Notamacropus eugenii: one gene and its partners. The main gene of each other region encodes a partner of the protein of the gene in region 2 in a complex. Links are inferred from orthologs where the notes say so. Each region holds a gene or a part of one and is shown on either strand. Other genes may lie near its edges.

Region 1 (7,127 bases), on a different chromosome or scaffold from region 2:
CACATGCCCATGTAGCCAAAGGCAGCTGGGGACAGGCAGAGGAGCTGACACACAGCACTGCTGCCTCCTGCTCTGCCCTCTCTCTCTCAAGGCCCAGTCAAGCTCCTCGGAGCCCTGTCATCTGTGTTGGAGCATCCTGGGGGAATGATGGCACTGGCCCAAGGTGGCTTGTCTGGGTACAAAGAGCTTTCTAGAAAAGATAGCTACTGCCCAGTGCCAAGAAGTCTCAGGAATGGGGGGTAGCCAGGATCAGACCTTACTATCTCACATGGTCTCTGAATCTCTTTCCAAGAAAAATATTATGATCCCAGATCATTCAGTTTTGGAACCCTACCCCTCTCCAGCCAAAACCCAAAGTCAACCTTGGGAAAAATCAAGGGGAAAAGATGCCCCTTGTTTTTGCCAGGGCCCAAAGGATTCTCACTTTGGGACAGCCCTCTCCCCAGTCTCACCGTCTTTCATACTCCATGTCTGGGGGTGGCCTGCTCCTGGGCCGATGGCTCCGCCTCACTTCCCAGCTGCCACCAGCCCTGCTGTTGCCACCATGCTCCGCCAGCCTGCACAAGAACTCCCGTGAGGGATCTGAGGGACAGAAAAGAAAAAGGAGAGGTCAGGGGCAGCCTGAGCCCATCCAGGCAGGGCGGGCTACCTAACCCTTGGTACAGGGGAAGAAAACGAGAACTAGCAGCAGTCAATCTGGATTGTCTCCAGAATGGGAAAGTGGGAAGGAGGAGGGGGAGGGGGAGGGAGAGAGCGAGAGAGAGCGAGCGAGAGAGAGAGAAAGAGGGAGAGAGAGAGAAAGAGGGAGGGAGAGAGAGAGAGAGAGAGAGAGAGGGAGGGACAGGGAGAGAGAGAGGGAGGAGGCAGTGATAGAAATGAAGAGACAAAGAGATGGAGAGGGAGAGGCAGAAAGAAAAGAGAAAGGAGGGAGAGAGATAAAGGAGGGAGAGAGAGATGGAGAGACAAAGAGATGGAGAAAGACAGAGAGGGAAAGACAGAGAAAGAGAAAGGAGGGAGGGAGATAGAAAGGAGAGAGAGAGAAGGGAAAGGGAGGGAGGGAAATGGAGAGGGAGGGAAATGGAGAGAGAGGGAGAGAGAGAGGGAGGGAGAGAGGGAGGGAGAGAGGGGGAGAGAGAGAGGAAGAGAGGGGGAGGGAGGGGGAGAGAGGGAGGGAGGGAGGGAGGGAGGGAAGGCGGGAGGGAGGGAGGGAGGGAGAGAGAGAGAGAGAGAGAGAGAGAGAGAGAGAGAGAGAGAGTGAGAGAGAGAGAGAGAGATATGAGGAGTCAGAGCCAGAGCTGCCACTGTATCTTGGCTGAGAACATCCAAGCATCTTTGCATCTTGGTTTGCTCTTGTATAAAACGATGATTAGAACTAGTTGCACTCCATACCTCAGGGGGCTGCTGGGGAGGATGTGTGGGTCCATGTGAATGAATTGTAAAAGGCCTGAGAAATATTGGATATGACTTTCAGGGCCCCCCAGCTGCCAAGAACAGCCAGAGTCCAAGGTCAAGGCCACCATGCTGCCTCCCTGGCTTCAGCCTTGGCCCCCAAGTCTTTTCTGCTTTTCCTTGATCTGGATGCTTTGCCCCTTTGTACTCTGGAGTGAGGGCCAGGATCACTGCTGCCTCTGGTGGGGGAGGAAGGTTCCTGTGCACCCCTCCCCTGTGTGTCCTTCAAAACATATTTAACTCCGGCACCTGTCCCCTCTGGAACAACAGGGGTTTTTAACTCCGGGCTCCATGGCCAGACTGGGGGGTGGGGGGGGACCCTCCCTTGTTATTTTCAGTTATTACTATTCTGTAAAGCCAGAATTCTGAGAAGGCTGCCCTAGAACCTGGGGCCACATGGGACTGGGAACTCTATGAGGACAAGACCGAGGCCTGGCCCATCGTGCTGCCAGGTGTGGCCCAAAGGGGCGAGCAAAGGCCACCTGGCCTTGGGAGGTGCCTTCCTTTCTGCCCTCAATCCCCTCTCCCGCCCCCTAGGCAGGTCCTGAATGGCCCTCACCCCTCAGGCCTCCAGAGCTCAGCTGGTAAGTTTACACAGCACTTTCCTTCCAGCTCCACTTGTCGGAAAACACAGAGGCTCAGCTGCCCTGACTGCAGGGGCCCAGAGACGGGGCTGAAGGCCTTGCTGCCTCGTCTTCTCCTACGCCCAGCAGGTGAGGCTAATAAAGGGGCTTCTCAAAAGCCGCCAGGCAAGGGGTAGGAAGCAGCTACGGGCACCCAGGGCCAGAGCAGCCCACTCTGGGGCACCCCCGATCAGCCTGACCTCTGCCCTGGCCGGCCCCCCAAGGTACAGCGCTGCCCTAGCCGGGCTTAGGGGAAAGGGCCCCGCGGGGGCAGGGTCTGGCACATGGCAGGGCCAGCGGGCCAGAGGAGCGGCCATGCCAGCTGCCCTCCCCGATCTGGACCCGCTCCAGCCGCCTGCTCCTGTCATTCATCCATCTGATCCTCCCCAGACCGGCCGCAGCCTCTGGGGAGGGAGGAGGGGGCTGGGGGAAGGGGAGGGGGGAGCAGGAGGGAAAAGACGGCGGGGGGAGGGGAGGGGGAGAGGAGCGCGGCGCCACCGCCGGGAGCGCGCACGCTCGCTCAGGTTCGCGCCCGCTCGGCGACTCGGCCTCTATTCCGCACCCCCCCTTCACCCCCCCACTCCCACCCCCGGGGGGCCTCCGGCGCCGTGGCCGCCGCCGGGTCGGGGCCCCCGACCCCTCCCCCGTCCCCGGCCCAGCCCGAGCCCCGCCGGGCCCGCTCACCTGCCGGGTCCGGACCGTGAGGCGAGGGCTCGGGCACATCACCCGGCCTCCGCCGCCGCTGCTACCGCCTCCCTCGCGGGCACGCGCGCGCGCGCCCGCCGTCAGTGGGGCCGGGCCCGGGCCCGCAGGAAAGCGCGGCTACGACTCCGGCGAAGCTGCCGCCGCCCCCGCCGCCGCCGCCCTCCTTCTCCTTCTCCTTCTCCCCTTTCTCCGCCCCAGGGCAACCCACTGCTGCCTCCCCCTGGCTGGCCCCAAACTACCAAGCGAAGATGGCGGCGGCGGCAGCTCCGCCCATCCCTCGCCCCGCCCCTCCCTTTCCCGGCCCAGCAGCCCAGGCGCGAGCCGGCCCGGGCCGGCCCGGGCCCCGGCGCGCTCCGTTGGGCTGCTGCGCCCCCTCCCGAGCATTCTCCGCGCTGAGTCGCCGAGTCCCGCCCCTTGCTTCCACAGAGGGCGTGGCGATTGGCCGAACCTGCACCACGTCCATGGGGGAAGGAGGTGGAGTCCCGCCTCACGTGATTCCAGCGGGGGTGGGGGGAAGGCAGAGGGGGACTAGACTGTCGAGTGGGTTCCGCCCCTTTGCCCATTAGGGAGGAACCGTGCTCCAACTAGACCTTTTTGGCGCCACTGGAGAAAGCGACAATGGTCGTGCTGCGCTGCTGCACTTCCGTTTAAACTCCTTAGCTTGGCTTGACCCCCTGCCTTCTACGTTCTCTATGCCTAGTCGTTCTTTTCAGGAACTTTGGTAGAGACTATGCCTTGTCTCTCTTGGCTCTCCACTGTTTTCAGTTCAGGTCAACAGCCACTTATGGAGTGCCTACTATGTGACAGGCACTGTGTCCCAGGCACAGGGAAAAGGAGTCCATAGCCTAATAGTACACTTACTGGAGATGAGCTCCTCCGGATTGTAAAGCATATTGGTCCTCAGACCGTTGGCTCGATCTTTTCAGAGCACCTTACTGAAAAGCCAGGCCTTCCATGGTGCAAGAACCCACACCGTGAAGTATCTCTACCCTCCAAATGATTAATAAGGAAAACTTTTGAGGAAAGCTCTTAGAAAAACGATCATTGGAGAGATTCTTTTATGGAGCATACATGGCGGGAGTCCGAGGAAGATGAATTGGAGTAGGAATGAGTCAAAGAACCATGGGTTCAAATCATAGCCTCTAACACTGCTGGTATGATCTTGGAGACGACCCAGGACCTTGGGTCCTTTAGGCCAAGGTCTTTGCAGGTATTCACTTAGGGTGAACTAATGCCCATTCATTGAATAGGACTGTTTAAGCAGTAGCCAGGGCATGGCCCCTTTAATGAATCCAGTGACCAGACATTCCTCAGGATGACTGAAGATGACCCAGGATTCCAATGGTTCTGGAGGAGATGTGAGGCTGGTGACCTGCACAGCCCTCTCTCATTCAAAACAAAGTCAAGGGCAAGTCACGTCATCGTTTCTCTGGTGGCATGGTCTTCTTCAGCAACGAAGGAACACAATGACCTTGGTCAAGTAAATTACCTTTTTGGCATCTGTGCCTTTCCCCAACTGTTAAAATGGTGGAGTTTGATACAATGACTTTAAACTTCCCTTCCATTTCTAAATCTATGATTTCTCATCTGGCAGGTAGCTGGCACAGTGGGTAGAATGCTGGAGTTGGAATCAGGAAAACCTGAGTTCAAATTCTACCTCAGACAGACAATACCGTGTCACCCACAGATCTCTTAAGCTCCCATCTCTAAAATGGAGAGGATCGAACTGGATGGTGTCCAAAGTCTTACTCTACCTGCTCTCTCAGACAAACCCTACCTTTGTCATCTGTACTCAGTACAGAACCCCGGAAATATCTCAAACGCATAATGCAGAGAAGTTTGGGGTTTAGATCTGTCTCTTCCCCTCTCCCCCCCTCCCTTCAGGTTTTCAGTCTCTAGTTGCCCTGTGTCTGGATCTTTGCTCTCATTTTAGTCTCTGTACCGGTGTCTGTTCATCCATTTTCTGTTTTAGACTCTAGGTTTGCCCCACTTTAGCTTTAACTCTAGGTACCTTCCCCCCACTTCTGTCAATGTCTCTGGAACCTGAATTTTAACTCAGTCAGTCTCCACGAATGATTTTCAAAATTGGTCCCGCCCTATTTCCCAGCCTTCCCTAATGCTCGCGCCCTTGTAGGAAGTTGTCTCCGCCACAGATGTCTAAACCTCTTCCCCACCCTGGCCCAGTTTAGGATAGTGTTCACCACGTGCTCCAGTCAAGCGCCAGCGCGGGCTGAACTACAATTCCCAGCAGGCTCCGCAACGGCGACCAGCCTGGATCGTACCACGTGTGCTCCACCAGGGGATTCTTTCAGTAACTTTGGGGCCGGTTTTTTTCTGGAATGGGCGAAAAAGAGTCAGAATCTGATGTGAACTAGGACGCTGACAGGACATGAGGTGAAAATGGGGTGCACTCGAATGTCAGAGCAGGGGATAGGCCGCGAGAGTCGCATTTGGGGTGAGCCTTCCCCCTTGACGCAAATAGTACCTTCCGCTCCGGGCCCGGGGACCCCAAGTTCCGCGCTCAGCCCATCGCTACGCAAGCCGGGGCTCCTCGGCAGCAGCAAAGTTAGCTCTGGCTACCGCTCCAGCACCGCCTCCAGCTCTAGGGGAAGGCTAGGCCTCGGCGGCTCCGGGCCTGAGGAGGGGGTGAGTTGAGAGACTTGGCGTTGGCGTAGAGGGGACCCAGGGAGAGCTTTTATGAAACGGCACGAGTTGGGGGGGTAGTGATGAGAGTTTCGTCCTTGTGTGGCTGCCCGGGCGTAGGAGGCGGGGTCTTTTTTGACCATTATTCATTAGGGGCGGGGCCTCTGCCCCCATTTGGACTTCTTGGAGGGGCGGGGCAATCTGGGCCGGGTCTTAATGTAGGAGGTGCGTTTGTTCTCTTCCCCCCTCCCCCCACCGGGTATTGCGTGCGTTTTTAGCTGACTAGGAGGAGGGATGCCGGCGTTCGCCGAGCTGGGCGGACGGGCCGCAGGCTGGCGCGTGCGCGAACCTGCGCCTGGTCCGCGGGGGGAGGGGTAGGCTTTGGCCCGTTTCGGGGCGCGCAGGCGCGAGGCGTCGTTGCTAGAGGATTTGAGCGAGGCCTGGCGCGGTACCTGGCAGTGTCACTCAGAGATAGGAGGGCGGGAGCAGTTTGGGGGTGAGGACGGGGGCGCACGTTTATTGGCTCGGGCGCTGGGGCGAAGAGATCGGGGGAAAGACTTGCTTGTGCCCTCCCCAAGCCGCCGGAACCCTGCTCTCGGTGAATGTGCCAGCTTTGTAGCCTGCGGCGGGGGCGAGGAATTGGGACGGGGGCGGGGCTTGCCGGCCGGCGGAGGGGCGGGCCTCGGACTGGGCGGTGCCTGCGTCAGGGGGCGGAGCCACCCGCGGGTTTTGTTCCGGCTCTGCGGCGGCGGCCGCCATCTTGTGTCTGGGACCGAAGCAGCCCGTGGAGGGGCTGAGACTCCAGGCGCCGGGGCTGGCCTTGGGTGGCGGCGGGGGGAGTTCCCTGAGCACCGGACGGCGACGGCGACTGCGGTGATCGGGCCCCGGGGAACAGGCCTTGGTAACCGGCCTGCCTTCTCGGCTGCCGGCCTCCCTCCCCTCTACCGCGATCTCTTCTCCTTCCCCCCACCCCCATCCCCGCAGTCTACTTCCTCCCCTCCCCCCCCCCCACTGTCTGCCGCTTCTCCCGTTCCCCCCAGACTGCCGGGATCTCTCCCCCCCAGCTGGGATTTGCCTCCCTTCACCAGCCCCCCTCCCGCTGCGATTTCTCCACCCCCCCCCCGGGGGCGGGGCCACTGTATCGTCGGGCCCCACCCGGGATTCTGCCGGAGGGGTGGGGCCGCCGGAGGTGCTGGGGGGAGGGGGCATCAATCCTGCCTCTTCACTCTCTCCACGCCGGGGCCTTGGGTGGATGGGTGGGCGGGTGGGTGGCGGGCCTACCGGCAGCCACTCCAGATAAGACCAAGGAGCACCCTGGACAGCGCCTTCCTTTCATTCCCCTTTCCTCCTTCCATCTTTCTTGGCATTCTGTTGGTTTGGAAGCCTCTTTGGCCTTTCTGCCCCCCACATTCACCCGAGGGAGTGGGAGAAGAACCCTAAAGGAAGGACAACAGCCTTGGCCAATCAGGACAATGGTGCTTCCTCTTTCCCCCCTCCTACTCTGTGTCACCGCTCTGCTTGGCAGATGGCTTACTTTCCCCACAAACGTGATGGGCCCCCTGGACTTACCCACTGACCCCATCTGTTCCTGTGTCTCTCTAACCCTGCCCAAAAGAAGATGTCCTGATCCTCCTGCCTGCCTGCCCAGGACGCCTCTCTGCTCTCATATTTCTCTCCTTTCCACCCCCAGTAGGACCAGCTCATTGA
Region 2 (7,055 bases):
CATGCTATGTTGTCAGACTAAAATAAATGAAAGAAATCATATAACAAATCAAAACATGATACACAAAAACATACACATACACAAACATGGTCTGCTACATTTTGCGAATGACTTCCATATTTCTTTCTCTGAGTGTGGAAGGCATTTTGCCTTGAGAACCACCATTGGGATTTTTTTTTTTTAAGAAGTTCTTGCGTTATTACAAAATTCCAAGTCTACCAGAAAAAACTCTCGCACACTGTGGTCGTTGCTGTGCACAAAGTTCTCCTGGTTCTGCTCCTTTCACTCAGCATCAGGTCATATAAGTCCTTCCAGGCCTCTCTGAAGTCTTCTTGTTCATCATTTCTTATGGCACAATAGTACTCCATTACATTCATATACCATAATTTATTCAGCCATTCCCCAATTGATGGACATCCCCTTGACTTCCAGTTTTTGGCAACTACAAAGAGTGCTGCTATAAATATTTTTGTACATGTGGGACCCTTTCCCATTTTTATGATCTCTTGTGGATACAGTCCTAGAAGTGATATTGCTGGGTCAAAGGGTATGCACATTTTTGTAGCCCTTTGGGCATAGTTCCAAATTGCTCTCCAGAATGGTTGGATGCGCTCGCAGCTCCACCAACAATGAATTAGTGTTCCAACTCTCCCACATCCTCTCCAGCATTTATCATTTTCTTATTCTGTCATGTTTGCCAATCTTATAGGTGTGATGTGGTACCTCAGAGTTGTTTTGATTTGCATCTCTCTAATCAATAGTGATTTAGAGCATTTTTTCATATGATTATAGATATCTTTAATTTCTTCTTCCGAAAATTGCCTGTTCATATCCTTTGACCATTTATCAATTGGGGTCCAGTACGGATTCTTGAAGATCTAACATGGATGAAAATCCAGTCAAGGAAGTGGAGAAGGAATGGTTAGACTAAGAGGAGAAGAACCAAGAGAAGGCAGTCAATAAGCATTTGTTAAGCACTTACTATGTGCTTATGATACAAAAAAGGAAAAAGAAATTCCCTATTCTTAAAGAGTTCACAGTCTAATTGAGGTGACAACATGCAAACAATTATGTATTATATACAGGATAAACAGGAGATGATCAACAGAGGGTAGGCATTAGAATTAAAGGGAATTGGGAAAGGCTTCCTTTAGGAAACTGGATTTTAGCTGAGATTTGAAAGAAGCAAGGGAAGACAAGATGCAGAGATGAAGAGGGATAGCATTCCAGGTATAGAGGGCAAGTCAGTTAAAATATTAGGAGTCTGAAGATGGAACATCATGAAAACACAAAGATGACAGAGCATTCAGGAGGTGTTCAATTGTCTCAAATGCCGTAGGGAGGCAGAGAAGGATTAGTACTGAGAAAAAAAATCACCAGATTTGGCAATTAAGAGATCACTTTGAAGAAAGTAGTTTTAGTTGAGTAATGAAGTTGGCTACCAGATTTCAGTGTTTGGAATAGATGAGAAAAGAAGTTAATGTATATAGATTTTTCAAATATTTTGGCTAAGAAAGAAAGAAGAAACAGGATCATAGCTAGCAGAAATGGTAGAATATAGTAAGGGTTTCTTTTTTTAAGATTTAGGAAGATATGGGCATGTCTGTGGGAAGCAGGGGAAAAAACTAATTTTTGTTGTTGTTCAGTTGTGTCTGACTCTTTGTGACTCCATTTAGGATTTTCTTGGCAAAGACAGTGGAATGGTTTGCCAATTCGTTTTTCAGCTCATTTTACAGATTTTGAGGAAAATGAAGCAGTGAAGGGACTTGCCCAGGTTTACACAGCTAGTGTCTGAGGTCACATTTGAACTCTGGTCTTCCTGACTCCAGGCTGCATGCTCAATCCACACACCACCTAGCTGTCCCAAGAAACAAGATGGGATTTTATTTTTAATTTTTTTTCTCATTTAATAGTATTTTATTTTTCATTTACATGTGAAGATGGTTTTCAACATTTATTCCTGTAAGATTTTGAGTTCCAAATTTTTCTCCATCCCTCCTTTCCCTCCTCCCTTCCCAAAACAGAAATCTGATATAGATTATAGATGTACAATCATGTTAAACATATTTCCACATTAGTCATGTTGTGAAAGAATCAAAACAAAAAGGAAAAAGCACTAGAACGAAAAAAAACGAAACAAAAAAGAAAAACTAGTAGGGAGATATTGAAGGTTAAAGACAGGGATAGTAGGGGCAATCTGCTGTAGAAGATGGAGAGGTGATGGGATCAAGGGACATGTATTAGCTAAAGATTAGCTTCAGCAAGAACCACAAGGACCCCAATAGAGCCTGGAGTAAAGGGAGAAAGAATGGGGGATGTCAAAGGGTTATGAGATAAGAAGGATGGAAGATAGAGTCAAATTGTAAGGCCTTGATTTTTCTTCTTTGGACCCTACTGTATAGGGTAACGACTTCTGCTGAGGAGCTGGGAGAAAGGGAATTCTGCTTGAGGAGAGATTCAGAATATCTGCTGCAGTGAGTGGGTAGACAATAAGAGAGGAGTAAAAGGATTGCCTTGCTGCAGTGAGAGTCTAGTTGACATCAGTTAATATAAACTGGTAGTGGATGCAGTCATTGTAGTTACATTACCTCCTCCAACTTCATTGCAAAGTTGGGATTTGACAGGAGTATCTGAGTATCTATCTCTAGGACAGGGAATTCCACAGTAGAGGTAATGTACTGTTGGATGGGTTATCTAAGGGGTAAATATGGGGAGGGAGTGAGTATATGCTGAGTTAGAGGAGTTGCCATGAGTTGGGATCGGTTTAGGAAGAAAAAGGTCACTCTCAGAGACAGGGATTTCAGAATTCTTGACAGTGGAAGAGAAACATAGGGGTGATAGCAAGATCAAGGGCATGACCATTCCTGTGTTTACTTAAGATAGAATGGAGAAAATAGGGCACGGAGAGTTGAGAAGACCGAACTGCTAGTTTACTATGTGTGAGGTCACATTACAACATATTTGTTGAAATTCCCTGGGATAAAGGCAGAAGTTGGGATGGAAAGAGAGCCTGTGAGACAGGTACTGAACTCACCAAGAAATGAAGGCAAGTCAGTTACCAGGCTTTCAATAGGATGAAAAACTTGGATAAAGTGAACCTCAAATGGAGAGAGGTGGCTGAGCGAGGTCTGGAGGTGGTGTTGAGGGGCTATTCACTCACTGGGGAGGAAGGCTGGAGAGAAGGATCGTCAAGAAAGACCCTGAAGTCGCACGCAGGTCGGGGAGCTACGGGAGGATGGTCCCTTATCAGAAACAAGGAAGTTGGGGCGGCGGTCGGAGACGCCTAGGGGGCACAGTCAGTAGGAAATAGCCACTAGGTAGCTGGCGACTCGCGACTGAGCTCAGAGGAGAAACTGAGGCTGGATATGGATCACAGGTGCCTAGATTACAACAGTGCTTCTCCCGCGATCGCACCCAAGCGGAGGAAGGCCCTGACCGGACAGGCAGGAATTTTACATTAATGAGGCTGAAAAAAAGGCACGTGGTGAGAAGATTCTCCCCGGGAAGTCCAGGTATCTGTTGGGACCTTCTGCGGAAGAAATGGAAGGAGACGCTCGGTTTGCGGCGCAAACGAAAGCCCTCTGAGAAACCAAGCGCCGCCCCACACCTTCACTTCATCAGTAGCCTTTGGCCGCTCCACGCAAAAATCTCAAACGGCAGTCTCAGCATCCGGAAGATGGGACAAAGGCAAGCGGAAATCCGGTGGCGCACAGTGCAGGCCGGGATCTGTAGGCAGTGGAAAAAAAAAAAAATCCAGCAATTACGCAATTTCCCGGAAGTTGCCGCACTGATCGCTGGGGCTTGTAGTAAAAAGAGAGAAAAATTCTTGGCTCCTGGGTGGAAGGGCTGACTCACTTGGGTTTCTCTTTGTTTTCAGGAGTCTCTCACAGTAAGCATCGCAAAGCACAACGATGCAGTTGGCTTACATCACCTTAAAAATTTCCTCTCCTCCTTCCATTTTTCCTCCCTGTTTCCATCTGTAACCTGCTTCGGTCCCTTTAATTTAAATCAGTTTCCCATGGCGCATTGAGCGCGGGGCCCTTGTGATTGGTCCGGAGAAATCCCACGTCCAAGATTCAAATCGTGGCGCGTGAACGTTTGTTCTGCCCCGGAGAGGAGGAAGCTGGTCCCAAGCGGCGTTAACGAGCGGCTTCTCTGAGTCTGGGGACCCAGAGTGAGGTGAGAGCCCCGCTGGGGTCTTGGGCGGGTGGGACTCTCGTCGGCCTCTTTGGTCGCGGGATGCTGGTGGAGGGGGTGCTGGGCGCTCCCTGGACGGGCCCGGGTGGAGCCGAGGAGCCGTACGCGCCTCGAGGTCCGTCCCTGACCCGCCCTTGCTTTTTCTCGGCCCGGTTTTAGGTTCCTCTGCGAGTCTCGTCATGGCTTTTCAGCCGAGTTCTGTTGGCAAGAAGAAGGATGAGAAAGGAAAGAACATCCAGGTCGTGGTGAGATGCAGGTAGGAGACGCGAGATCTCACCCCCGCGGGTTCGTGTCCTTAGGTGGGGCCAGAGCCCGGCGGCATCTTGGGGGCCCGCGAGTGTTGACATTTGCGTTGGAGCCCGCGCGTCTTGTTATTGAACCCCGGAAAACCCCAGGATGTTTATCGGCCTACACCTGCCCGGGTGCCTCTGCTGCGTCTGTCAACTGAAGCTGATCCGATCTGGCTTCCCAAGGGCGGCGGGGACGCTCCCAAGTGCTACGCGTTTGTGGCGCTGTCGGGTCGGCCCCCTGCCTGCCACTCCTGGGACGTTCGGGGCCAGATCCCCTTCCCCTCCCGTCGGCGCTGCCCGATTGTGGTGCTGTTGGAGACTTTTATTGAGTGCCTTTGGTTAGTTTATTTAAGGACAGTTTGTGCTGGAGCTGGAGCTGGAGTTTTTGTCCCAGCACTTAGCCTAGGACGTACACACTTAATAGATGCTTATCGATTGATTGTCTAACCTTTGAGAGAGAGAGAGAGAGTGTGTGTGTGTGTGATTACCATTTTAAGGGCAGCTGAGTGGTGAAATGGGTAAGGTACCCTGCATGGAGTCAGGAAGACTCCTCTTTCTGAGTTCAAATCTGGCCTCAGACACTTACTGGCTGTGTAACCCCGGACTAGTCACTAAACTCTCTTTGCCTTAGTTCTTCGTTGTAAAATGGGCTGGAGCAGAAAATGGCAAACCCCTGTTTGCAAAGGAAACCCCATATGGGGTCAGGAAGTCAGACAGGACTGAATTACAACCAAAGCTTTGTGTCCGTGGGCAAGTGACTGAAGCCTCAGCTTCCTCATTGTTATCTGTGTTCTCTTAATTAATGTAATTCTCTTAATGTAGTAACTGAAAAACCACTAGTTTTACTGTTAAGGAAGCTGCAGCTCTGGCAGGTTAAGTGACCCTAGAGGCACACATAGGAGCAAACATCAGATTTGAACCACAGTTGCCTGACTCCAAAGTCAGGGCTCCTTTTGCTGTACCAGAGTGACATAGTAGGACCAGTTTATTTTGTTTGAAGCAGAATGGAGGGGCATTTGTGGTGCATATTTTGACTTAAAATATGAAGTGGGTAGATGGCTCATAGTGGCTAGAGTGCCAGAATCAGGAAGACTTACATTCAAATTCAGCCTCAGGACACTTTCCAGTTCTATGATCCTGGACAAATCATTTAACCTCTATTTGCCTCAGTTTCCTTTACTGTAAAATGGGGATCCAACAAGATAATTTTTGAGCTGTATAAATGTTAGCTATTATTCCCTTTGAAGTATGTAATAAATTGCACGTATTACTTATGAAACTAATCACCTTTTTTTAATTAGTCTTGTTATATCACATAAGACTAAAAGCCAAGGACAAAGGATAGTGACTTGAGAGAATGTTAGAGTCTAGTGAGTGTTTATAGGTATAAGGGGTAGAATTTAAAAAAAAAATAGATTGAAGATTGGGTAGAGAAGGGATGCTACTGCGAGCAAGAATCAGGGAAGGGATATATATCAAGTAGGGTTGGCCACCTTTTCAACAGGTACTGGAGTAGAGAAACCATAATATTATTTTAAGGTGTAGTGATATAGAAAAGCTAAAAATAGGAAACTCGTAGTACACAATCTCTATTTTCTCAGTAAAATATGGTGCAAGATCCTTGACTGTGACAGTTGAGAAAGAGATGGTGTGGGAGGCTTGAATAAAAAAGTAGGTCTGGAAAATCCTCACTGATAGAGAATTGATTAGACAGAAGTAAAAGACTGACTTATCATGGTTTTGCCCTGTGGTTCATGCATATTGAACTACTCAGTCCCCACGATACACCTTTACCTTCCACATTTGTATCTTTGTTTAGGTTGTTTCCTAGGTCAGGAAGTGTTTTCCTTTTCCTTCTTCACCTGTTAAATTCCAACTTTTATTTAATATTTTTCCCAATTACATGTAAAAACAATTTTAACATTTTTTTTTTCAAATTTTGAGTTACAAATTCTCTCCTTCCCTACCCCCTGACTTGAGAAGGCAAGTAATTTGGCATATGTTATACATGTGTAGTTATGTAAAGCACATTTCCATGTAACTCATTCTGTGAAAGAAAACAGACAAAAGAACAAGAAAAAAAAAAGAAAGTAAAGAAAAAGTATCTTTGATCTACATTCTGGCTCTGCCAGTTCTTTCTCTGGAGATGGACAGCACCTTTCATCATAAGTACTACAGAATTGTCTTGGATCATTATATTGTTAAAAATAGCTATGTTATTCATAATAACAGCAATATTGTGTCATCTGCTGTGTATAATGTTCTCCTACTTTTGCTCATTTCAGAGCATCCTGCTCATCATTTGTTAAAGCACAATAGTATTCCATCAAAATCATATACAACAGCTTGTTCAGTCATTCCTCAGTTGATGGATATCTCCTCAATTTCCAATTCTTTGCCACCACTAAAAGAACTACTATAAATATTTTTGTACATGTAGGTCCTTTTCCTTTTTGTTTTTTATCACTTTGGGATACAGACCTAGTACTGGTATTGCTTGGTCAGAGGATATGTATACGTAGTTTTATAGCCCTTCGGGCATAGTTTAAATTGCTCTCCAGAATGGTT
Region 3 (8,007 bases), on a different chromosome or scaffold from region 2:
CTGAAAATCATCATGAAATTTTTGGGCCCTCAGTATCAGAGAAGAAGTCTGAATTATTATGGTATGAAAAGATAAAATATGTTGATATTATATAATGCTACACATAAATTTTATGCATTTCTGAGTTTCTAAACTTTTTCTGTCATCTGCACAAAACTCCCAAAAAATTCCTTTTAATTTCTTATGATGACCCATGATATATCAAAACCACAAAGGAAAGTTGTGATGAAGGGCTAACTCTGTGTATATGTACATGCATGTATATAAACATATGTATGTATGTATACACACATACACAATATACATACACACGTATATGTTTTCTCATTTGACCTCATATTGATAATAGGCAATTTTATAATCTTCATTTTACAGATAAAGAAATTGAGTCTGAAAGCAAAGAGATGATTTGCCAGGAGTCACAGCAGCTGTCTGAGGCCAAATTATCTGTTTCACAGAGGTGCCTAAATCTGGGGGATGGGAGAGAGATTGGCTATCTTTAAACTGGGTCAGAGAGAGATTGAAATAGGAGCAAAGATAGCCCACTTGGAACTGAACATGCCATTCTGGAGCTAATATAGGATTTCTTTGTATATATGTATTTTTTTTTTATTTTACTTTTCAATGAGTCAGTCATTAAACAATGGAATAGTAGTTCCAAATTCCCTTAAATTCTTTTGTATTTTTTTTAAAGATAAAGCATTTAGATGAGACTTCCTATTTATAATGCACACACATATGTATGTACACATACATATGTATATTTTGTATATTTTTACATGGGTACATGTTGTTTTCCTCATGGAAGGTAAGGGGAGAGACTTTTCATTTATACCCTATATTCCGAGAGCCCGACATCACATATAATAAATGCTTTTTGAATTGAATTTGGAAAAACAAACAGTTTTTTATCCCATTCAGTGTTAATGTTGCCAGTTTCCATATTGAGGCTATCTGTATGTGATTCAATGATTGAAAGAAAGAAAGAAGAAAGAAGTAGAGGCCATTGTACCAGGTATGCAAATGATATTGCATTCTCCTAGGATCCAGATATCCAGGGCTAAGGTTCTTTTCATATGGAAACAGCCTTTATTGGGAGGGGATTTAATTATTGTGTGGTACTTCCAGTGTGAAAACTCCCTCTACCTCAGAGAAGTGATAAATGATCAATAATTTATAGTCAAAGATAATGACTGGAGGAGAGAGGGAGGCCTGAGAATTTGTGCAACTCTGCCTCACTTAAATCGAATTTACGCATGAATTGAAAGACATCGCCATACCATGCTGGAGCATTGACAAGTTGGTGACTTGTTCATGACCACACAGCTAATATCTGTCACAGGAAGAATTTGAACTTGTCTTTCTGACTCAAAGGCTAATTCTCTGCTGTGCTGTGGCAGGGGTACTTATCTATTGCTCTCTGGGTATATTCATATTATCTATACTTCATGTCAAAGAATAATTTTTGAACTGGATTCACTTGGAATTCTGACCGCTGTTTCCTAAATGTGTGAACTTGGGGGAGGCTCAACTTCTCAAAGCATCAATAGTCTTCATATGTAACAAAAAGGTTGGACCAGAGAATTTTGTAAGATTTCCCCAGCTCTTTTTGCTATGGTCCCATTATAAAGATGGAGAAATGCTTCTCTCCCTGGGTTGGCATTTGTTTGGCAGCTCTGGCCCATCAGAAGCTGATCCTCTCCTACCTAAGGGCTCACACCTCATTCCTACTCATGTTCTCTTTCTTTCAGCAACACTGATAAATAGGAAACATCAGTTTCTTACAATCAGAGATAAGAAGCAGGTCTGGAGCTCAAATCGTGCCTCTGAATTTTCCTATTTTTGTGACCTTGGGCAAATCACTTAACCTCTCAGTTTTCTCATCTATAAACTGGAGGGTTGGATGGAATGACCTTTAAGGGTCCCCAGCTCTAGCTCTGTGCTCCTATGTTGTTGTTTAGTTATTTCTGATTCTTCGTGACCCTGTGGACCACACTGTCCTTGGGCTTTTCTTGGCAGGGATATTGGAGTGGTTTCTTATTTTCTTTTCTAGTTGATTAAGGTAAACAGAGGTCAAATGACTTGCCCAGGGTCACATAGCTAGTTATCGCCCGAGGCTGGATTTGAATTCACGTGTTTCTAACTCCAGGCCCAGCGCTCTATCAATTGAGCACCTATCAGCCTCCACGTGTTCCTTATATAAGAAGATACAAATTCTTTTGCTTGGAATGAAAAGCCTTTTGTAAGCCGTTTCTAGCCTATCTTTCTGCACTGATTTCCCATCACTTGCCCTCAAAAACTCTATAGTCCCATCCTATTTTCTCACACAGAATATTCTATCTCCTGCTTTTGAACAGGCTATTCCCAAAACCCGGAATGCACTGCCTCTTCACCTCTGCCAGTAGGAATTAATACCACTCCCAGCCTAGCTCAAGTGCTAGGCCTCCCACTCAGATAAAGCTTGAGGTCTTTTCTGATCCCAGACCAGGCTACTTTGTCCTCTTCCCATTGTAAGCTCTTTGGAAAGCCCCAAATAGCCTCCATATTTATGATCAACACCTTAGCACAATGCATAAGTAGCGCGTGCTTAAAACATGTTTATTGAATCAAATGGGGAAAAAACCTGGGCTTTGAAGTCACTGGACCTGGCCTCAGCTCTGACTACAACTCATTACCTGTGACCTTGGGCAAGTGTCTTAGCATTTCTGGGCCTTAGTATCAGCATCCAGAAAATGGGGATGGGGCAGGGTTGGACAATGACAACTTCCAGCTCTCAACCAATGCCCTCAATATAGAGGCTAGAGGCTTTTATCACCTGGCAACTCCCTAAATGCTACTTATGGACTGATGATGATGAGGGAGAGAAGCTGCACCCTGTATCTTCAGCCCCTAATACGTTTCCTACATGCCTTGGATTGCAGGCATTTGCCCTCCGATCACGTGTCATTCTGAGGCTGCGAGATATGTCAAAATGAAAATCCATTTTCAGCTGTCAGAAATCATTCACCATCCAAACATAATGACTTTCAGGGTGGATTGAAATGGGCTTGTTGAGCTTTAGCTACTCTCTATCTTGGAAGCAGGCTGCCTCTCAAACTTTCTCTGTGGCTTCTAGCCTCAAACATGCATACTGACTTTGGTCAGGTGTAGGGTGAGTCAATACTGTAGTGATTTTGGAGTGGTCTGGCCATATCCCTGATAGGAGGAAGTCTTACTCCATGTGTGAGCTGAAGAATTTCATATGGCCAGTGCAGAGAATGACAAGAACACGCCAATAGCCTTCAGTACCGCAGTAAGTTGGTTAACATTGAAAAGTAAAGTGTTGTACATCAGCCAGGAAATAGAACCTTGAACTTTTCATAACATCTTATATTATGCATTCTAATTGGCAGCAATTTTATACTACCTTTTAAAAGTTGGGGTGGAAGGTATTTCCTTTTCTATTAAAACAATCTTTTTTTTTTTAAAGCTCTTTAAAAAAGAACAATAAGAGTTAGGGATGGAAAAGGATAGTAAGCTGAAATGGGAAAGTTGGTGGTCTTTCCAGAGTTAAGACTCACTAGTCTCCTCATCTATAAAATGGAAACAATAATAGCACCCACCTCCCAGGGTTGTTGAGAGGATATGATGGAAATACTTGCAAAGCGCACTACAAACCTTAAATCACCACATTAATACTAGCTATAATTCTCAAGGAATGCAAAGAATCTGCTAAAATATTCATATAAATTCCCTGTCCTACACTATGTGCTTGTAAAAGATCCAGAGAAATAATGAGTAGTTTTAAAAGTAAATTGGAAAGGCAAGTCGGAAAGAAACCGGCTCACCTGCAAAGTCAATAAAATGTCCCAGTTCCATCTAATTAATGAAGGGCCATTAAAACTCGTTTCAAAAACTGTCTCCATCCCAAATGAATCGTGAGCCCTTGAAGATCAGACAGCGAGGGTTTAGCGAAAAGGTCACCGGATAAAAACGGACACAGAGAAGTTGTAGTCGTGGCTCTGCGCCTGACTTTGCTGTGTGTCCTTGGGCGGGTGGTTTGCCCTCTCTGGGCTCTTTAGTCGGGAGGGTCGCCCACGTCCCTCCTGACGGACAGGCTCTGAAAGGTTATTTTTTAATCTACGTTCCACTAAGTCTTTAGCTCTGCGTTCTATGTGGCGCTGTCAAGGCCACTTCAGACAGGCACTGGGACAAAAAGACCAACTTTTTTCGTGTAAAGTGCACTTTTCCTTCTGTTGGCACAGTTTAGGAACAGCCGAGGAAGTTTTCGTAGCCTTCCTACAAGAAGCGCGGGGCGGGCAAGCTGGCGCCCGGAGGAGCCACCCGGCTGTGCGGTGCCCCCGACCCGGCGCAAGATGCCCGGCCCGCTCGGGGTGCGTGTGTGCGGGGAGAGGCGCCGCCGGGCACCCAGCTCGGCCCGCGGGGCGAAGCCTCCGGCAGGTGCCCGGGGATGCCAGCTCCGGCTCCTGCCTCGCCCCGCCACCCTTCCGCTCCCCGCCCAGCCCCGCCCCCATCGCGGGCGCTCGGGGACCCAGGGAGACCCGGGTCGTCTCCGCGGGGAGCGGAAGAGGAGCCGCGGCCGGAGCCTCGGGCTGACCCCCGCGCGCACGCTCCGGGGCCCGGGGCCGAGCATGTCCCCGGCAGCGGCGGCGGCTGCGGGGCGCTGGCGCGGAGCCCAGTAGGGCCCCGGGGAGGAGACCCCGGGGAAGGCGGCCGCGGGGCCGCTAGCGCCCTCCCTCCCGGGGCAGCGGCGGCGGCGGCGGCGGCCGGGCCCGGAGCCAAAGGGGAGCGCAGCGGAGCCGCGCAGCGCAGGGCGCGGGGGAGGAGGGAGGGCGGGAGGGAGAGGGGGAGGGGAACTCCGAGGGGGAGGGAGCGGAGCGGGAGGCCAGGCCCCGAGGGGGAGGGTCCCTCTCGCCCTCCCCGAGCCCACAGGCGCCCAGGGAGACCCTGGCGGCGGCGGCGGCCACCAGCACTCTCCGCCTCCTGCTCCTGCCGGGCTCCGCGGCGGTGGCATGTCCGAGGCCGGCGGGGCCGCGCCGGCCGGGGGCGGGGGCGGCGGGGCCGGGGGGCAGCAGCCGCCGCCGCCCCCTCCCCCCCAGCCGCCGCCGCCGGCGCCCCTGCCCCCTCCGCCGCCGCCCCCGCAGGGCTCCCCGGCCGCCGCCGCTCCCGCCGCGGCCGCCCCCGGCCCCGGCCCCGGCCCCGCCGCCTCCTCCGGGCCGGCCGCCGCCGAGAGCCCGGGGGCGGGCAGCGGCGCCTCCACGGCCCGGATCGCGGTGAAGAAGGCGCAGCTCCGCTCCGCTCCCCGGGCCAAGAAACTGGAGAAACTCGGCGTGTACTCCGCCTGCAAGGTAGCGTCCGCGTCCGCCCCGGGCGGGAGCTGCCCTGCCCCGCCCTGCCCCCCCCCCGGGCGATGGCGGGGCCCGCACCCGGGCCCTCCCCTCCCCCCGCTGCCCCGCGGCAGGACCGCTCCGGGTGGGTCGGAGCCGAGCCCTGCGTGGTGCGTGCGTGTGTGTGGTGTGTGCGGTGTGTGCGGTGTGTGTGTGTGTGTGTGTGTGTGTGTGTGTGTGTGTGTGTGTGTGTGTGCGCGCGTGCACGGCGCGGGGGGGGGGGGCAGAAGCCGAAGCCCGCGGCGATGTTTGCTGGGGGGGGGGGGGGGAATGACGACTGGCCGCCCCAGGGGTGGGCGGTGTAGACAGTGGCCCGGCCGAGCGGCCGCGCCGTGCGCTCCTGCCCTGCTCCTCCGGGCGGGGAGCCGCTGCCAGCCTGGGGGGCTCGGGGGCTGGGTAGCGGGATGCCAGCGCACCTTAGCTTTGCATTAGGGTGGGTTTGCTTTGTAGACCCTTGGGCGTGTTGATAAGCTTGGCTTGGCTGGAACAAGTCGCTTCCCTCCTCCTGTGTTTGCCCCCTTTCTCGAGGGCGCCACACCACGCCCCTGTGGATGGTCCGGGACCTGCCCTGCCCCCTCCATCCAGATGTGGCCCGGGGTAGGGATCGTAGTCCCAGAGCTGCTGGAGGCCCGTGGCCCTTGGCACCGTCGTCTTTGTTTTGACAGGGTGACAGCTGAAGGAGGCGGGCCTGTGGCTGCAGGTGGGGGTGGGGGGAGGGTGTTCTGGTTAATCACTCCCATGCCTGGTACTTGGGAGCCAGAGGCCAGTTTCCTAGAATGGCCCGGGCTGGTGGTGGGATGGTAGGGCTGGGTCCTCCCAAGAACACAGTTGTTAATCTTAATGATAACCCAGGCATATTTTAAGTATTCACAGAACAACCTTAATTTGAGAGGCTAGCCGTCTCTCTTCCCCAACTGCATGGTAAACATAGTCAAGAGTTGGGATTCTGGGAGTTTAAAGTCCTCCGATGTCCGAGTTCAGCTGTCTTGGACCAATCTTCTCTCCCCAGTTTACCCTGCCCTCCTGCCAAACTGTGCTGGGCATCACTCTCTGTCTTCTCTTTCCAGTTCGTTATTTCAGTCTCCTGTTTTGAAGACTTTGATCACTTCTCCTCACGCTGAAAGTCAGTCTGAAACTTTAAATTCCACTGTGTGTGCCAGGTTTTGAAAGACCTGGGTTCAGGTCTTGAATTTGCTAGTTATTATTAATCAACAAGCAATTGCCTACTTTGTGCAGCTTCACTGGATAGTCATGGAATCTCCGTGGCCCTTATTAACAAATATGAAAAATATGCGAGTTGGACTAGATGATCTAAGGCCCTTACCCCACTAAAAACTCAGGAATTTAAGAACCTGGGATCTGTAGCTGCAAAAATAATAATAATAATAATAATAATAATAATAATAATAATAATAATAATAATAATCCACCTTGATTAGGGGGCTTCCAGAGCAGAGCTGCTTCCTCTCTGGCTCTTTTTCTGCCTAGGACTTTTTTCAGGGAAGAAAACTAGTGTAGTGGGCAGTCAAGATAGGTTGAAAACCATTGGAGGGATTGAGAGCTGTGTGAATACATCATTCAATTCAGATTGTACTTAAGAGAGTTTTAGGTACAATCTTAACTGAAATGGAATCTTAATCCAGTTGAAGCTTGAATCTTAGTTCAAACTGTTAGGAGCACCCACTTACTGTGTTCCAGGGACTGTTTTGGTGCTAGCAATAAAAAGCAAACACAAACAACTCAGCAGTTCGTAAAGCCTGTCTTCCAGAAGCCTCCAGTCTCAAACATTGCCAGTGAGGATAGAAATGCCAGCCATGTCAAGTTAGACTGTAAGGGAGATGCACAAAAGAACCAAGAGAATTTATAAGGGCTTCTCTCATTCTTATAATTCAGCATTCTCACGAATGCCCTTGATTTGTCCAGCATATAGAAAAGGGTCATTTATTGTACTTCTTAAAAAGATTCTAATTCTCCTCTAAGTGCCACTGCTTACAAAGGACAGAAGGGACAGCTTAGAACCCATTAAAATACCAGCCCCTTAGGCAGTCTGGAAAGAAAAGCAATCAAGAATGGGGAATTGGAGGAGCAGGGGAGGAGACCCATCAAAGACTCCTGAAAGAGAGATACTTTTATTTTCCTCTTTAGGCTCAAATGAAGGCAAAACAAGGCACTGATTTTAGCCTGTAGTCTGCTTTTTCCTCCCCTCAGAAGAAGGGTAGCCTACCATATCTCTCCTAGAAAAAAGAAACTAACCTGCTTTGCAGGGTACCGGTAGAATTCTTTTGAATGGTGTCTTGGCAAAGATCTCCAGACCTTCACCCTAGTTCTTCTCCAGCTTTGTGAATTGGTCAACTCTCTACCCCAAGCTACTAGTAGAAGAGATCTAGGTCAGTGATAGTGTACCAAATTTGGGACAACTTGAGAAGTGATACCTTAGAGGGAAGTAGTTGGGAAATTTTGACTTAAATTTTTTGAGAGTGAACCAGGCAAAACACATTTAAAGTTTGGTGCCTCTAGTTTTTAGAATAGTCATTTCTGGATATACTCAAATCCCACCCCTAACTTTTTCCCCTTTCCTTAAAAAAAAAAATAACATCTATAAGGAACTCCAATGGGCAGA
Region 4 (6,939 bases), on a different chromosome or scaffold from region 2:
AACTGTCTCCTACAGTGAGGATCAAATAAGATGACATTTGTCAAGTGCTTTGCATACCTTAATATACTGCACAAATGCTACCTATCATTATCATTGCATATTAAATCTAAATTCCTCAGTCTGGCATTCAAGGCTCTGCTGCTTTCCTTTCACTCTCCAAGCTCATGTCTTAATATTCACTAACACAGATCCTCTGCTCCAGGGAAGCCTCATTACCATCCTCCTCATAGATTTTCCTCTCCTAGAATCTCCTTTCCCCCTCCTCCTCCATCAATCGTACACTTTGTCATTTGAAGGAGGTGATGGATGACTTCTACTGGAGCAGTACCAAATGGCTCATCTAGCCAACCAGACTAGAAAAGCCTTGTGGGAAGGGACAGAAAAGTGATATAATATATTGGCAAGGAGCGTCAAAACTTGAGTTAAGAGACCTGGATTCAAAGCTTGCAATAGACGCTTACTACCTGGATAAGAATCCCTGGAAGCTTCGGTTTCCCCATCTATTATAATGGCAAGAACCATGACAATTGGTTGGTGACGGTGACAATGATAGTTAGCTTTTGTATAGGGCCTTCCACTTATCGCATCTGACCTTTACAATTATTTTCTCCATTTTACACTTGGGGAACCTGAGGCTGCAAAAATTTGAAGTGACTTGCCTTGGAAGGTGAAGTGCCTAAGGCAGGATTCAAACTCAGGGCTTCTGACTCAAATCCAGAACTCATCCACTAACCTGACTAATTTATAGATGCAACTCACAGATCTAAGAGCTAGGCTAACCCACTCATTTTGTATATAGGGGACCATAAATGCCAGACTAAAGAGTTTAGATCTCATTTCACCAGTAAAGGTGGGGCCATGAGAGGTGATTTGTTGGGAAGAAATGTCTTTTTATACCTTGAAGGGCTACTGAAATGTTAGTGCAAAGGATCAGCGGATTTGGAGTTCCAACTCCCTTCTTTGGCAGATGAGGAAACTGAGGCCAAGACAAGATCAAAGTTACAAACAGGTAAAGATCACATAGCAAAGCTTGGATTTAAACCCAAAAGCAGTGAATAATTCATTTATTCCTTCTGGTTCCTCACAAACTTATTGGAAATTTTAGTCTACCTTGGCCTGTCTTCCCTTGCTAATGGAACCAAATACCATGGACTCTCTGGCCCTTGTTGTAGCACCTTCATTTTCATACCATCACATTCCAGCCAAACTAAGCTCCTGGCTTTTCCCTCATTTCATTCTCCACACTGGGCATTTCTTCTGTGCTTTGAATGCATTCTTTCCACATCTCTACTATTTGAAATTCTTTTCTTTCAGGATTCATTTCAGATGTCATGTCTCCCCAGCTGAAAGTGATTTCCCTCTCCCCAAATTTTCTTGAGCCTTAAGGTAGTGTGGGACCTTCCTCCACCTGGAGGCTACCCCAGGTTCAAGCTGATCTTTGAGTCAATATCTGTGTAAAGCCACAGTCCAAGAGCCCCCACCCATGATCTCCTTTTAACAGACCAAACCAGATTACACATTAACCAAAGCGAAATGAATTTAAATAAAACAGAAAAGCAAAGCAAATAAGAAGGAAAAGGCCTCATACATTCAGGTCTGTGACCTCACTAAAAGACCTCTTGCCTCTAAAACTGCTACTTGCTGCTTTCTCCTACGGCTGCTGATAGCATCCTCCAGGCTGCTTTATCAAATTCTGTGATATTATCTGCTGGTTTTCTGCTGAGCTCCGCCTGCCATCTACTGTATTTTCCCTGAATTGCAGAGGCAGGAGAGTGGTCTCAGCTTTTTAATGAAATAATCCAGTGCCTAAAAGAACAGGCTTTTCTCCTGGTGGGGTACACAGATACTTCCCTTAGGTGTTCGTTTCAGGATTTCAGGGGGTCCATGAACTTAGAAAGTAAAATAATTACATGCTTATTTTCACCAGCTTTTGGTTTCATTTAGAATCTTGTTTTACTTTATGCATTCACCAATATGATTTTTCTCAGAAAAACCATGGTGGGTTATGCTAAATTGCCAAAGAGGTCCATGATATTAAAAAAAAGATGGAGATCCTCTGCCTCAGAGCTATTTTAGCATTTCTGTGAGTGAGATCGCTACATAGTGGACAGGCAGCTCAGCAAAATTTCCCTCGGATAAAATTTATCTTCTTGAATGACTCTACTTCCCCCTCAGGGGCAGCTTCCCCAGGCCTACCTGACATGTGTGCACTGGGGTGAGTGAATTCTTTCCAACTTCTGGCACAGATGACACCCTGGAATTTTACTTAGTAAGACGGAGAAGAGGGGGTTGAAGAGGAGCTGGCCCTCCAACAAAGCTGGAGTTTCAGCTAAGCCAACCACTGAAACTTATCCCACCCAACCATTTCCAAGGCTTTAGAGTCCTTAACAACTAGATCAGGTTCAACCCTCTCATTTTACAGAGAAGGAAACTAAACCCCAGAGAGGTTAAATCATAGCTAGGTGGCACAGGACCTGGAATCAGGAAGACTTGAGTTGAAATCCTACCTGAGACACTCCCTAGCTATGAGACAGTGGGCATAGGACTTAATCTCCATCTGCCTTAGTTTCCTCCTCTGTAAAATGGGAGTGATAACAGCATCTGCCTCCCCAAGTTATTGTGAGGATCAAATGAGTTAATTAATATATGTAGAGTGTTTTGCAAACGTTAAAGTGATACATAAATGCTGGCTATTATTGCTCAGATCATTCTGATCATCATTGCCCAGGGTCACATTTACAGAGTCTGTAAAGTCCGTTTATGGTCATAGGTTCACGTTATTATTCTATATTATGTTATGTGTTGTATAATAATATCAAATATCCTATGTTATAAATATGTATTGCCTGATTGATTAACAGCTCCTCTGTTCCTGATCTGTGAAATGAGGGGGTTGTCACAATCTGCAAGTCTCCTTTTAGTTCTAGATATGAAAAACACTCTGACTGGAGTCAGCTTTGTGACCCTATGCAAGACTCTCTGGGCCTCAGTTTCCCCACCGGAAAAAGATGGGAGTTTGATGAGATCTGTTCCAGCTTGGGATTTATGACTATGTAAACTTTAAGGCACTATATAAAATCTCAGCTATGACTATTACTCCCCCCCCACCTTGGTCAAATCACTCCCCCTCTCAAGGACTCAGTTTCTCCATCTGTAAAATGACCAGATGGCCTCTGAAATCCTTCCTCCAAATCTATGATTTTAATTCACTTTCAGTTTCCTGGGAATTGGTTCTTTCATCTTTCCATTAGAGGACCACCTTCCAGCTCTGATTTGAAGTCAGTCTTTCTGGGCTTGAGTTTTCCCAACGGTAAAATGAGGCAGCTGGACTGACCCCTCCTCCAGCTCCCCTGGACCTTGGATGGTCCAAGGTGAGCCCCTGGGACCACAGGACAAAACTGATGCTTGGATGCAGACGTGGGGAGCTGGTTTGCCTGACCAGGCAGATTTGTTACGAATTTTGTTTTTGTTTCTCTTTTTCTATAGTGAGGGTGGGAAATAAAAATAATTGCGGGTTTTGGGTGGAAAAAACAAAATCTAAATGAAATGATTGATTACCAATCAGAAATACAGTTAATGGCAAACACACTAAAACGAGTGAGCTCCAAATCTACAAGCTCTCAAGGCAGCACCGTGGCACAGTTTACAGCATCACCAGTCGGGGAGTGGGGGGACATCAGAGACCACCTGCGGTCCTCGGCTTCCAGACCCCAGAGCTTTCCAGCCTCCACGTGGCCTCGCCTTCTGGGTCCGCCCCTGAGCTCCAGCCCTGCCCATAGCCCCGCCCCCGAGCTATAGCCCCGCCCCTGGCCGCTCCCCCGACCCGTTGTGGCCACGCCCCCAACCGCAAACACGCTACGCACGCGCCTCCTCTCTGGTGACGTTCCCTCCCTCCGTCATCGCGTCTCTCAAGTCTCGCGGGATCTCGAGCCAGGTCACGCGAGGCCGCGGCGGGGTCGGGAGTCACAATCATGGCGGCCGAGGAGGCGGATGTGGATATCGAGGGGGACCCAGGGGCGGCGGCTCCTCCTCCATGCGGGTGAGGCCGGGGCTGGGGCCGAGCGGGCCGGCGGGGGGTCACGGTCCCGGGGCGGGCGGCGCCGGGGCGCGCGGGCCGAGCGGGCCTCCCCTTCTCCGCCAGTGAAATGGGAAGATCCCACTGGTGTGCCCGTCACGCGTGCCCTCGGGCCGGCCCCCTCCCCTATCCTACACTGATGGGGGGGCCCCGCTCACCCCAGAGAGGGCCCATTTTACAGATGAGGAAACTGAGGCAGGCCCCTTCCGCTCTCCTAGCCCTTCTCGTGACCCTTGGGAGCGAGGCGCCCTTGGGGTCCCCCCTCTCCACCTGGCCACCCCTCGGCATACAGCAGGTGCCTAATGAAGGGATGGCTCTGTCCTGGGTCCTCCTGGTGACGTCAGTGTGGGCGTGGCTGAGGGGGCCGCCCTGGGGTGGGGGTGGGGGGGGTGAAGCGGGGCCAGACCAGGGGGCGGGGCAAGCCCAGGGGGTGTGGCCAGCGCGGAGGGGCGGGGCCTGGTGTCCTCTCTCCTCCCCTGCTCTCTGAAGCCTGCCTCGCAGACGCCCTCATCAGTCCTGCCTCCGCGCGGGGCTGCTCCCGGGCCCGTCCCGGTGGGGCCCGTCAGGCCGCTCCTCTGGAGTATTCCTGAGGCCCTCGGTAATGTGACTTGTGGCTCCTCTCTGCGCCCCTCTGGGGGTTTTCTGCTGCCAGGATGAGTGTCCTGGGGGTCCGAGGAGCGCTTCCACGACTTCTGCTGCGGACGCTGAGCCCCCTTAGTGTCCGGTGCTTCTCTCGGGGCTGGTGACCCACAGCCAGGAACGTAGCAGAGCCGCCCTCAGGGGTGTTGCGTTCAGTTCTGCCGAGGAGCCAGGAAGGACGACCCTAGAGAATCTGGAGGCTTGCCCTCCAAGTGGTCCTGGGTTACAAGGTGTCAGCGCAGGGAATGGGCCTGAGAGCGATCTAGTTCTGTCTAGTCCAGTGTTGTCCTTTAGCAGGTGAGGGTCCCTTTGGTCCTGTCCATGATCTGCTGCGGCATCTGGGTGGCGGTGGACAGAGCTGCAGGCTTGGAGACCCTTCACCCCAGCCCTGAATGCCTCAGTTTCCTCACCTGTCAAAATGAGCTGGAAAAGGAAATGGCAGTTACTCTGCCAGGTGGAGTCACAGAGAGTCCGGCATGACTGAAACAGCTGAACAGCAGCTCTGTGCTAGAACTCAAGTCAAAGCCCCCAGATTCTGAGATCCTCATTACATCCATTCCAGCTCCTACCCTCAGGCCCTTTGTCCTGGCCCTGGAGAAGGGCACTCAAATCTCAGTGGTCCGTTGGAATCCCAGGTCACAGTTTGAGGGAAGGCTGGCCTGGCCCCAGCCATGGCAGCATGCAAAGCTGTCCCAGCTAACAGGGGGTTTGGGTGCCAAAGGTTTGGAAGATATGGGTTCTAATCTTAGAATCAGGGGATTTACAGCTGGAAGGTATAAGCTAACACACTCACCTCCCCCCCATAGAAGTTTGCCTGAAGTCACACAGTAGATGATCCAGAACTAACACTCAGACTAACCTTTTCATTTCACAGATGAAACAGTCGGTGCCATTTGGATTAAGCAGTTTGCCCAGGGCCACACACAGCTCTCCTTGTTAGGAAGCCTTTGTTGACATCCAGCCTCAATGGGCCCCTTTGCCAACTTGTCTCCTAGCTCTGGGTTCTGCTTCTGGGGAAAACAGAGCCATCTAATTGCGCTTTCAGATGGCCAGCCTTCAAATGCTTACAGACTGCTCTCATGTCCTGCTTGAGCCTCCTCCTTTCCAGGCTAACTATACCTCCTTCCTTCATCCTCTCCTCTCACATGGCTTGGACTCAAGGATCTTTGCCCTCTTCTGGACAACTCTAACTTCCCAGTGTCCTCCTTTACTGTGCTTCTCAGAACTGAACGCTGTACTCCAGATGTTGTCTGACTAGGGCCAAGTATGGTGGGACTCTGCAGGCATCAGATCCCGGTGGCCTTTTTGGCTGACACGTCACACTTCTGACATTTCTGGTTTTCGTCATGCTTGAAGATGACCTGTTGGTAATGGGTCTGTGTTCTTGATGCTTTAAAAACACTCAAATTGTCATCAGCAGCCTTTGCTGTGTGCTCATCTTCTAATACCATCGTATAAGTCATGATGGAACAGCAAGGGGAGCAGCCCTTGAGTCTGGGCTCCAGCACTTAACTGACTGCATTTTCCTCTCTGAAATGGGGATGGGTGGACTTCTAATAGCCACCTCTTGTGGTTGTCTTTGTGAGAAAAGCCCTTCATCTGTGTGAATAGAGTTCCCTTTGGGAGGCCCCAGCGTGTGTGGAGGGCTGGCTTCTGGCTGTGGAGGCTGGTCCAAAGCCCACAGACCAGATCAGCTGCTACATCACAAGCAGTGAGAGGAAGCTGTCAGGCATGGTGCAGCCCAAGAGAGTCCCCAAGCAAGCTCCCTTTTGTAAGCATCTTTGTGCCCATTTTCTTATCTATTACAGAAGCCATGAAAATACAGCCTCTGGTTTACAGCAAGATCATTACCTTGATTCCACCTGGAGAACTGATAATGGCCTCATTGTAAGTGCTTTATAAGAAGATTGTGTCATTTGCTTTTCACAGTATGCACATGAGAGATGCTTTGTATCTTGGAATACCATGTTTTTCTGCGTTTGTCCTTGTTCTCAGCCATTGTAGATAACACCCTTAGGAGATTTTCCTTGGTTTAAATTCTATAAGAAACCTTATGTCTTTTGATGTTGAAGAAGGTCATGCTGGGATGTTTCACTTAGACATCACACTTTTATATCTGATATATCATGGAAGATATTCTCAAATCAATTAGTGTAAAAAAATTTCTTTTCTCTTTTAATAGCCTTGGACTCTGGATAATACCATCAGTGCTGAAAACAGGGCTG

Evidence for each region.
Region 1: KIF11 (region 2) and RBM10 share a complex: the UniProt entries of both Homo sapiens proteins name them as parts of the large chromatin remodeling complex. The link is inferred for Notamacropus eugenii from reciprocal best matches to the Homo sapiens genes KIF11 and RBM10.
Region 3: KIF11 (region 2) and KAT2B share a complex: the UniProt entries of both Homo sapiens proteins name them as parts of the large chromatin remodeling complex. The link is inferred for Notamacropus eugenii from reciprocal best matches to the Homo sapiens genes KIF11 and KAT2B.
Region 4: KIF11 (region 2) and MYSM1 share a complex: the UniProt entries of both Homo sapiens proteins name them as parts of the large chromatin remodeling complex. The link is inferred for Notamacropus eugenii from reciprocal best matches to the Homo sapiens genes KIF11 and MYSM1.

What each region holds. Positions count from the first base shown.
Region 1 is NC_092879.1:101,863,668-101,870,794, reverse strand, and holds the start of RBM10 (RNA-binding protein 10), read right to left. Parts: upstream 3,004-7,127; 5' UTR 2,757-3,003; intron 583-2,756; 5' UTR 470-582; coding exon 453-469; intron 1-452. Other genes in the region: UBA1 (ubiquitin-like modifier-activating enzyme 1), read left to right, coding at 5,178-5,423. UniProt on the Homo sapiens protein: Binds to ssRNA containing the consensus sequence 5'-AGGUAA-3'. May be involved in post-transcriptional processing, most probably in mRNA splicing. Binds to RNA homopolymers, with a preference for poly(G) and poly(U) and little for poly(A).
Region 2 is NC_092872.1:209,280,285-209,287,339, forward strand, and holds the start of KIF11 (kinesin-like protein KIF11), read left to right. Parts: upstream 1-4,043; 5' UTR 4,044-4,179; intron 4,180-4,356; 5' UTR 4,357-4,376; coding exon 4,377-4,453; intron 4,454-7,055. UniProt on the Homo sapiens protein: Motor protein required for establishing a bipolar spindle and thus contributing to chromosome congression during mitosis. Required in non-mitotic cells for transport of secretory proteins from the Golgi complex to the cell surface.
Region 3 is NC_092874.1:34,104,280-34,112,286, reverse strand, and holds the start of KAT2B (histone acetyltransferase KAT2B), read left to right. Parts: upstream 1-4,997; 5' UTR 4,998-5,012; coding exon 5,013-5,348; intron 5,349-8,007. UniProt on the Homo sapiens protein: Functions as a histone acetyltransferase (HAT) to promote transcriptional activation. Has significant histone acetyltransferase activity with core histones (H3 and H4), and also with nucleosome core particles.
Region 4 is NC_092873.1:518,846,468-518,853,406, reverse strand, and holds the start of MYSM1 (deubiquitinase MYSM1), read left to right. Parts: upstream 1-3,930; 5' UTR 3,931-3,971; coding exon 3,972-4,039; intron 4,040-4,555; exon of another isoform or gene 4,556-4,673; intron 4,674-6,522; coding exon 6,523-6,601; intron 6,602-6,896; coding exon 6,897-6,939. UniProt on the Homo sapiens protein: Metalloprotease with deubiquitinase activity that plays important regulator roles in hematopoietic stem cell function, blood cell production and immune response.